Linked DNA regions of Arabidopsis thaliana. The protein of the gene in region 1 interacts with the protein of each later gene in a pairwise test. Each region holds a gene or a part of one and is shown on either strand. Other genes may lie near its edges. The genes, in order: AT1G68300 and AT1G11800.

Region 1 (3,649 bases):
ATTCACTCTTCTGATGGCAGGCATTCATCAACCATCTCCACGAGGTTTGGATTCTCTAGTGCAGCCGCCACACGTTCTTTATCGTTTAGTTGTTTATTCACTGCATTTTAAACACCAAGAAACCAGACATCATGTTAAAGAAGTACACTCGATGTAAAGCAAAACATGCATACCAAAAAAGATGGATAGATATTGAAAAATGACATACATGCATCTTCTGTTGCATGAGAACCAGGTGCTACCCTTATATCAATCTGAAAAATGAAGATTCGTTTCAGAGGACTGAGGCACATAAAACATTGTGCGAGTGTGTTTTAAGGCAGTCCTAACTATATATAGTAGAGGCTAGGGCTATCTTCTCTTCGCAAGTATCAAGAACAGTTGATTAAGAATGAAAAATTAAAAAATTTCTCTGCCTCATATATCATCACAAGGAGAACATGTGTTGGATCTCAGTTACGTTCAAACCACTCTCGATAATGTATAAATCAGAAAATGGGCTCAGAAGATCATCTTGACAAACTTACAGGAAAAGGGAACCGGAAAATCTTAGAAATGAAATAACAAGAAAGCTTTGTACCTTGTATCGAGAAGGAAGGCTTCGTAGAAGTTTCACACGGACACAAAGACCGATAACGGTTGCCATGCTACAATGTTCGACAGTTGGAGTGAACGTAACCCTGAAAAGAAATGGTAGAGCTCAACAGATTGGCTCAAAGGAACACTAAAAATCCATAACAAAACGTTCAATCCCAACATTTTACCTAACATAACTGTTCTCATCATCCACTTCAACTGAGTCTTCTGTAACTACTCTGAGATCTTCCAGAGTATTAGGATGCTCTGGATCTTTGATATCTCTTATATGATTTGTGTATTGTTAAAGAAAACAACAGAAATAATCCAATATCATTCTGTATCAACTAAAACATAGATTCCATTTGTTCACAGATTACCAAACCGATACCACGCATAATTACAAGAAATTTAGCATTCGAGAACAAAAGATTCATAGGTAGGCTTTAAGCTAAGAAGCATGTCAAATGGTTCCAACACCTACTTCGAAAAGATATGCATATGAGAACAAAAGATTCATGACTTCTAATAGTGTAAAGAAGCAAACTTCAAGCTAAGAGGCATGTCAAGTTGTTCCAAAACCTATGCATACACTAGCTACTCTTAATTTCAGATGCTAATAGCTGTAAGACGATAATCACATCCTCACAATCACACACAATCAAACCAATTCACCAATTAAGGTTTGCAATTAGAGTAGTTCTAAGAAAACTTGATGAAGAAAGGATATCAAAAATCTCAAGTTGATCAATTGGTTCTGGTGTAAGCTCATCAGTAATGCTTGTATCAGTACGAAGACGCCTCTCTTTCTTTGGGTAAATGATAGGGTTCTCATTAATCAACCCAGATACCATTTTTCTTCTCCCTGCCAAAAATTGAGTTACAGAGACTCGTAAAGCACGAAACTTTTCAATCGGAAATTACAAAACCCTAAAAACCCTAAAATTCCCAGGGAAGAAGCAAGCAGCGAATTGAAAACTAAAGAAAGATACATACCGGAATCGAAAATCAATCAATCAGCAAAGTTTTAAGATTTAGTTCGATTAGAGAAGAAAGAGGCAAAGATTTTGCGATTTTGAGAAATTTGTAAGAAAATTTAAATTTACAGGAAAAGAAAAATCGGATATGGGCTTACGAGTACGTTAAGGATTTGAGGAGTAGGTCTGTGTAACCTCGCCGCCAATTTGGAATCCGATGAGCCAATAAGAACAACGAGGTTATAGGCTTTCTCTGGACCTGATACAAGAAACCCGAAATTGGATCAGGCCCATCGAATAATTCAAAATCTCCAGAAGAACCTCGTGCCTTCCTCTACACAATCGACACGTCATCATTCTGACTTTTCTCAAAGAAGAGAAATCAAATCACCAAGTCATCGGAGCGATCACAGAGAAGAAGAAAACCATGGCGGAAGAAGAGAAAAGCGTGATGAAGCAAGTGATGGTGGCGATTGATGAAAGCGAATGTAGTAAACGCGCTCTTCAATGGACGCTCGTGTATCTCAAAGATAGCCTCGCCGATTCCGACATCATCCTCTTCACTGCTCAACCTCATCTTGATCTCAGCTGCGTCTATGCTTCCTCTTATGGCGCCGCTCGTAAGTAATCTTCTTCATCGGATTCCGGCGATTTCATTTTGTTGATAATGGTTGGATTTTTTTGAAATTGAGTTTGAAAATTTTGGTCTTATGTGTTGTAGCGATTGAGCTTATAAACTCATTGCAAGAGAGTCATAAGAACGCTGGATTGAATCGTCTTGATGAAGGAACCAAAATTTGTGCTGAGACTGGGGTTTGACTTCACTTATATGAAATTAGTCAGATTCGTGTGTGTTTTGGAACTAATTGGTTTGGTTGTTGTGTATTAGGTTACTCCAAGAAAGGTGTTGGAATTTGGAAATCCTAAAGAAGCGATATGTGAAGCTGCTGAGAAGCTTGGTGTTGATATGCTTGTGGTTGGAAGCCATGGTAAAGGAGCATTACAAAGGTGTGTACTGCGTAGATTAAACTTTGATGGTTTTGGAGATGATAATGTGTCTTATGTTCTATGTGTGTGTGTGTGTATGGACAGGACTTTCCTTGGAAGTGTTAGCAATTACTGTGTTAACAATGCTAAGTGCCCAGTTCTTGTGGTGAGAACAAAAGCTTGAAGACCTCTTCTCATGAAAGAGTTCGAGAACCCTGGCTTGATGTGTGTGTGTTGTAAACATATTGATAATAATGCTCTGCTTGGTTACTATTGTTTGAAGAAACTTTGTGAGTAAACATAATTTATTTTGTTTGATAATGAAAGAGCATTGCCGTGTTCGGGGCTTGTGATTGCTATTTCCTTGTTTCAATAATGCAGTTTTTAATCTAATATGAAGACAGGCTTAGACCAATCATTATGCTGTAACTTCAGCTTCAACCGAAAATCCTGTTTAGGGTAGCTGCTAGTCTCACCCCTCCCTGTGCTAACCGCTGATACACTATCGGTAGACGTGAATAGAAGTATTCATCTGCGTAGAAGACATTATGTGTTTGTTAGCTTCTTTCTTTTGTCAATCATCATAGTTTTTTGGGTGGATTCTTTACCTTCTAGAGTGTCTCCTTCCGTTACCCCCTTGTATGCCCAGTCACAGGCTGCTTGAATTCCTTCGGATGCGTATCTAAAAAAGTTTACAGGGGGAAAGCAATTGGAAGTTAAATCTGCTTCTTGCTGGCATGAAGAAGAACCACTTCTATTCAAAGGTACTATTATCATACTTACATGTCTGGACATGCTGTCTTCTTTGTGCAGGTCTCCCATCTCTTAACTTGATCTGCCCATTCTGTCTGCATTTTATTAATACATGTCAGCAAGTCAGAAACACCTTGTAGCATACATGTAGAGAACAGTAGTTTTGTTGCATTAGTACCGTGATATTCTTTTTGAGTGCATCCACCATTCCTTCTAGTGCAGAGTTATAGAGATCTGCTTCAGCTGTTTCGATAATGTTGGAATCCCATATCTGTATGAATCTAAAGTTTAAAACTTTGTACTATCTGATGCTGAAATAATAGATGCGTTTCGCAGTTCTTACATGGTGGAGGTTA
Region 2 (4,491 bases), about 22 Mb from region 1:
TAGAGTGAAACGGAAGAGGAAGACGCGGTCCAAACCTTTCTGATGTAAAATCAAAACAGAGTAAAAAAACAATACGATTTGAAACTGCATGGCTATCTGACTTCTTTTTGTGGAGCATAATAATAAGTATTTCCCTTCAAAGACACACCGTTGTTGTTGTTGTTGTTGTTGTTGTTTGTCGTAACCGAAAGCATACATGTCTAATCTGTGGAACTTATGGTATTTGCTTCTTGGTTGGATCCACCTGAATTCCCCTTAATAAGGGTTCCACACCATGAGCCTCCTTCTCCTTTTGTGTATGACGCATAACAATCAAGCCGTCACAGTGAAATATATTAGATATATCGTATTGATCAACTATATATATTTCCTTTAAAGATGGATCAACGAAATCGTTGTTGTGGATTCCTTGGAGATCAAGTCTCAGGGAACAAACCTTAGAATACATTACTACGAAACCTAGAAATTGCTTACTTGTATCTGCTTTAATTACCAAAAACATAATTTTCCGACAAAACGTTCCAGGATAAAGTGTTCCACGTTGTACAAGTACATTGCACTTCACTCAGAGATATCAATGGAACTCTAGAGAATATCTCTCCCACCAAATCTACTGAAAGATCGGACAAAGTCGTCATTATTTGTTCGTCTCCTTAAATGATGAAGTGAGAGACGACACTTGTATATTCTTTGCTAAGAACCGTCATTTGTGATCAAAGAACAACTTGACCAAATGATAGATACTTATTGTTCTGGTATTTACAACATTAAGAACTAATTACAACTTAATGAAGAACAGAACTTGCTGGTCTTTGTGTTAGTCTGACTGTAGACCATAAGTATTAGAGATCTTAACTCATTCATTGATCTGTAAATAATTCACAGAACTAACAACTCCTTATAAAGCAAACAAAAAAGGACCAATCCAAAAACTTGAACTTTTCCTACTATATACATCTTCAAAATTAGCTAACAAAAGAAATTAAAACTTCAAACAAGAAAAAGATCTAAGAACAAAAATATCAGTCTCAAAGATTGCTTGCGGTGTACGTCAAAGAGAGCCAGAAGAAGATATATTAGGTTCCAATCTCATACTTGAACCAACCTTGGTTTCAAGCTTTCATTAGTAATTTCGAGAGCGAGTCAAGGTTTGATCATCCAATGGGTGGCTTAGCGATTCCTTGTCCTGAAGATACCTACATCACTGCAAATCCAACATTTTGTTCTTCCGAGTTGAAAAATAGACTTACTCATTTTAAACGTAGGAGTTTTTCCCCCTCTTCTTCTTAAAGTTTGAAGATAGAATGACAGGTTTTTGCAATAGACATGATCATGTTCATGTCAATACATTTAGGATCGATCTTAGAAAAAGAAAGACAATAGACTAAAACTAGTCATCTAAATTTTATTGCCAAGAGATGTACTTCGAAAATGCTAGTATAGATTTTAGTCTCTTGACAATAAAATTTTGTATAAAATTTGTCTCCTAAATAGTATGTTTTTGTTTTTGTTGTATTCCCCAACAGCTAATTCTGTCTTCTGGTATATGGGTATACTTCGGTTAGTTTCGGTTTGATTACGGTTCACCTTTCAAATTTAAACATTGAAATTGTAAACCATCTTCTTTGTCCAAAACGATGTCGTATAATAATAACACGTAGCCGTTAAATGAAAACCGAAGCGTCAAAAAATCAAAATCGATAAAAACTAATTAGGGTAAATGTCAACAACAATCCGATTTCTGAGAATTGTCACAAGTCGAGCAATGTCGTCGTCTTGGTCCTGCAACAAATGTACTTTCCTCAATTCTGCGTCTCAGAAACTCAATTGCATGATCTGCTTGGCTCCTGTATCTCTCCCTTCTTTGTCTCCTCCTCCACCTTCTCTCTCAATTTCCGCGAACGATGAAGCTAAATGGGCTTGCAAGGCCTGTACTTTTTTGAACACGTACAAGAACTCAATCTGTGACGTCTGTGGAACACGATCGCCAACGTCTTCTCTCTTGGGATTTCAGGATTTGACTGATTCGGGTCTCGAGAGTAACGACGCTGATTCCTCCGTCGGGTCTGTTTTCTTTCCTCTGCGGCGGTGTATCAAGCGTAAAGCTATGGATGATGACGTCGTCGAGGTCGATGGTGCTTCTGTTGTTTGCTCTGAATCGCAAGGTGTCATGAAGAAGAACAAAGAGATTGAAACGAAAGGTCGGTTTTTTTCTACTCCCTAGGGTTTTAGGTCTTTGTGAATTTTGGTATACTCATTGTGGCTCATACCTTAGATATCAGTTTGAAAGACGAGACTTATTACTGTATGATTCCTGTTTCATCTAAAGCTTGTTATTGGTTTTTGATTACTGCTAAATTGTGTGAGTTTGATTTCCATTGTTCCTCAATGCAGAAGTCTTTACTTTTTTTGTCATTGTTTGGTTTTTGTAGGGGTAGCTTCTGATTCAGGAACACCTTTAACTTGCTTGAAGATCTTGAGCTACAATGTTTGGTTTCGTGAAGACCTTGAGTTGAATCTAAGGATGAGAGCGATTGGTCATCTTATTCAGCTTCATTCTCCTCATCTCATATGTTTTCAGGTCACTTTTACATTTTGCTATAGAATGATTTCTATCTGCAACATTTAGAAATAGCTCAGCTTTCTTGACAAGTGGTTTTTGTGTGGTTTGTAGGAAGTCACTCCTGAGATATATGATATTTTCCGCAAGTCGAATTGGTGGAAAGCGTATTCTTGTTCTGTCTCAGTTGATGTGGCAGTTTCGAGAGGCTACTACTGCATGCTGGTAAAGATTGTGCTTGCTTGGCTTAGGCTCTTGCCGTCTGTATCTGAATAATTCCCTGTGGTTCTTGTAACTGACCCTTATGTGTAATTTGCAGTTGAGCAAGTTGGGAGTGAAATCTTTCAGCAGCAAAAGCTTTGGGAACTCGATAATGGGAAGAGAACTATCTATCGCAGAAGTTGAAGTTCCAGGGAGAAAGCCACTTGTTTTTGCAACTAGCCATCTTGAGAGTCCCTGTCCAGGTCCTCCAAAATGGGACCAAATGTTCAGTCGAGAACGCGTTGAACAAGCCAAGGAGGCAATTGAGATTCTCAGACCTAATGCCAATGTGATATTCGGGGGAGACATGAACTGGTGCGACAAGCTAGATGGGAAGTTTCCTTTGCCAGACAAATGGGTGGATGTTTGGGAGGTTTTGAAACCAGGTGATTTGGGTTTTACATATGACACAAAAGCAAACCCAATGTTGTCCGGTAACCGGGCATTGCAGAAACGGTTAGACCGGATTTTGTGTCGTCTGGATGATTACAAGCTTGGTGGAATCGAGATGGTTGGGAAAGAGGCCATTCCTGGTTTATCATATGTAAAAGAGAAGAAAGTGAGGGGTGACATTAAGAAGTTAGAGCTTCCGGTGTTGCCTAGTGATCATTTCGGTCTGCTTGTAACCCTTTCGCCAAAATGAGATCAAACTATTCAGAGCTCGAAGTTAGTCTTCCTTAGTGAAGCTTTTGTGACTAGGTTAAAAAACTGTATGAAACACCAAATTTGGTGCGTAGGGTTTCTCTGTTTCGAACTGATGATAAACAGTTCTTGGTTTAAGTTTTTTTTGTTTTTTGGTTTGGGAACGGCCTTATTTCCTGATTCGAACTGAAAGATCAGTCTTATTGTTCAACAATGCCCCCACCTTTTGTAATGAAGATTCTGAAACTAATCACATATTAATATGATCGTTAAAAACCAGAGAGATTTTGGTATCAGAGGGTTTTGCATCAAACAACCTTATTCATTGATATTAACTGAAAAAACTTGTTTAATGTACAGAACATATTCTTAACAAAATGCTACATCAATTGTATCTGTCTCAACAATGAAGAGTTTGAAGCTAAAGTTCTAAAATGAGAAAATGGTGAAAGAAGATTCTTGAAGTATACCAAAGCCACAAACCCTGTTCTTCTGTTTGGGTATATTCACATGTTCTTCACGGTATGGTAACATGAAATCAATTGAAGAGTTGCTCGGTTATCTGACTAGATCCATTGGATAACACCCGAGGATACGGATGAAACTTGCGAATTCCTGCAAAACCAGAAGGTAAGATCTTTAGAATTGGTGAGCCTTAAGACCAGCTATAAAAGCTCTGGGGTTACAAGATTGAGACCTGTAGATGGCCAAGAGCGTGCTGAGCACGTGTATCAGCCATGGAGGCTTCAAAATCAATGTAGAATAAGTAATCAAAGTACCTGTCATCATCACAAAACAATCACTCAACTACTTTGTCAAAAAAGATGTCTGCATGTTGTGTGTTAGAAATCTACTTACTTAGCGCTTCCATTGTTAGAACCATCAACTACTCTTAACGGTCTTCTTCTCTGCGGACGACTTTCTATCTAAAGAAGAGCAAAAGTTACGTCATATATTTCTATTTTTGGAATGAATTACTGATAATAGGATCCAACTTTTCCTTGGAACTTACCTTAGATAAGTTAATG

The links.
Region 2: the proteins of AT1G68300 (region 1) and AT1G11800 interact in a two-hybrid assay, tested with the Arabidopsis thaliana proteins (one large-scale study listed by BioGRID).

Annotation. Positions count from the first base shown.
Region 1 is NC_003070.9:25,597,593-25,601,241, reverse strand, and holds AT1G68300 (Adenine nucleotide alpha hydrolases-like superfamily protein), read left to right. Parts: upstream 1-1,891; 5' UTR 1,892-1,980; coding exon 1,981-2,173; intron 2,174-2,274; coding exon 2,275-2,366; intron 2,367-2,442; coding exon 2,443-2,561; intron 2,562-2,645; coding exon 2,646-2,724; 3' UTR 2,725-2,911; downstream 2,912-3,649. Other genes in the region: AE7 (MIP18 family protein (DUF59)), read right to left, coding at 3-100, 209-254, 581-680, 765-858, 1,289-1,430; ENDO2 (endonuclease 2), read right to left, coding at 2,978-3,072, 3,149-3,222, 3,324-3,388, 3,472-3,564, 3,637-3,649.
Region 2 is NC_003070.9:3,984,493-3,988,983, reverse strand, and holds AT1G11800 (endonuclease/exonuclease/phosphatase family protein), read left to right. Parts: upstream 1-1,693; 5' UTR 1,694-1,720; coding exon 1,721-2,201; intron 2,202-2,432; coding exon 2,433-2,581; intron 2,582-2,674; coding exon 2,675-2,785; intron 2,786-2,879; coding exon 2,880-3,464; 3' UTR 3,465-3,800; downstream 3,801-4,491. Other genes in the region: ADT1 (arogenate dehydratase 1), read right to left, coding at 4,022-4,078, 4,161-4,242, 4,322-4,389, 4,476-4,491.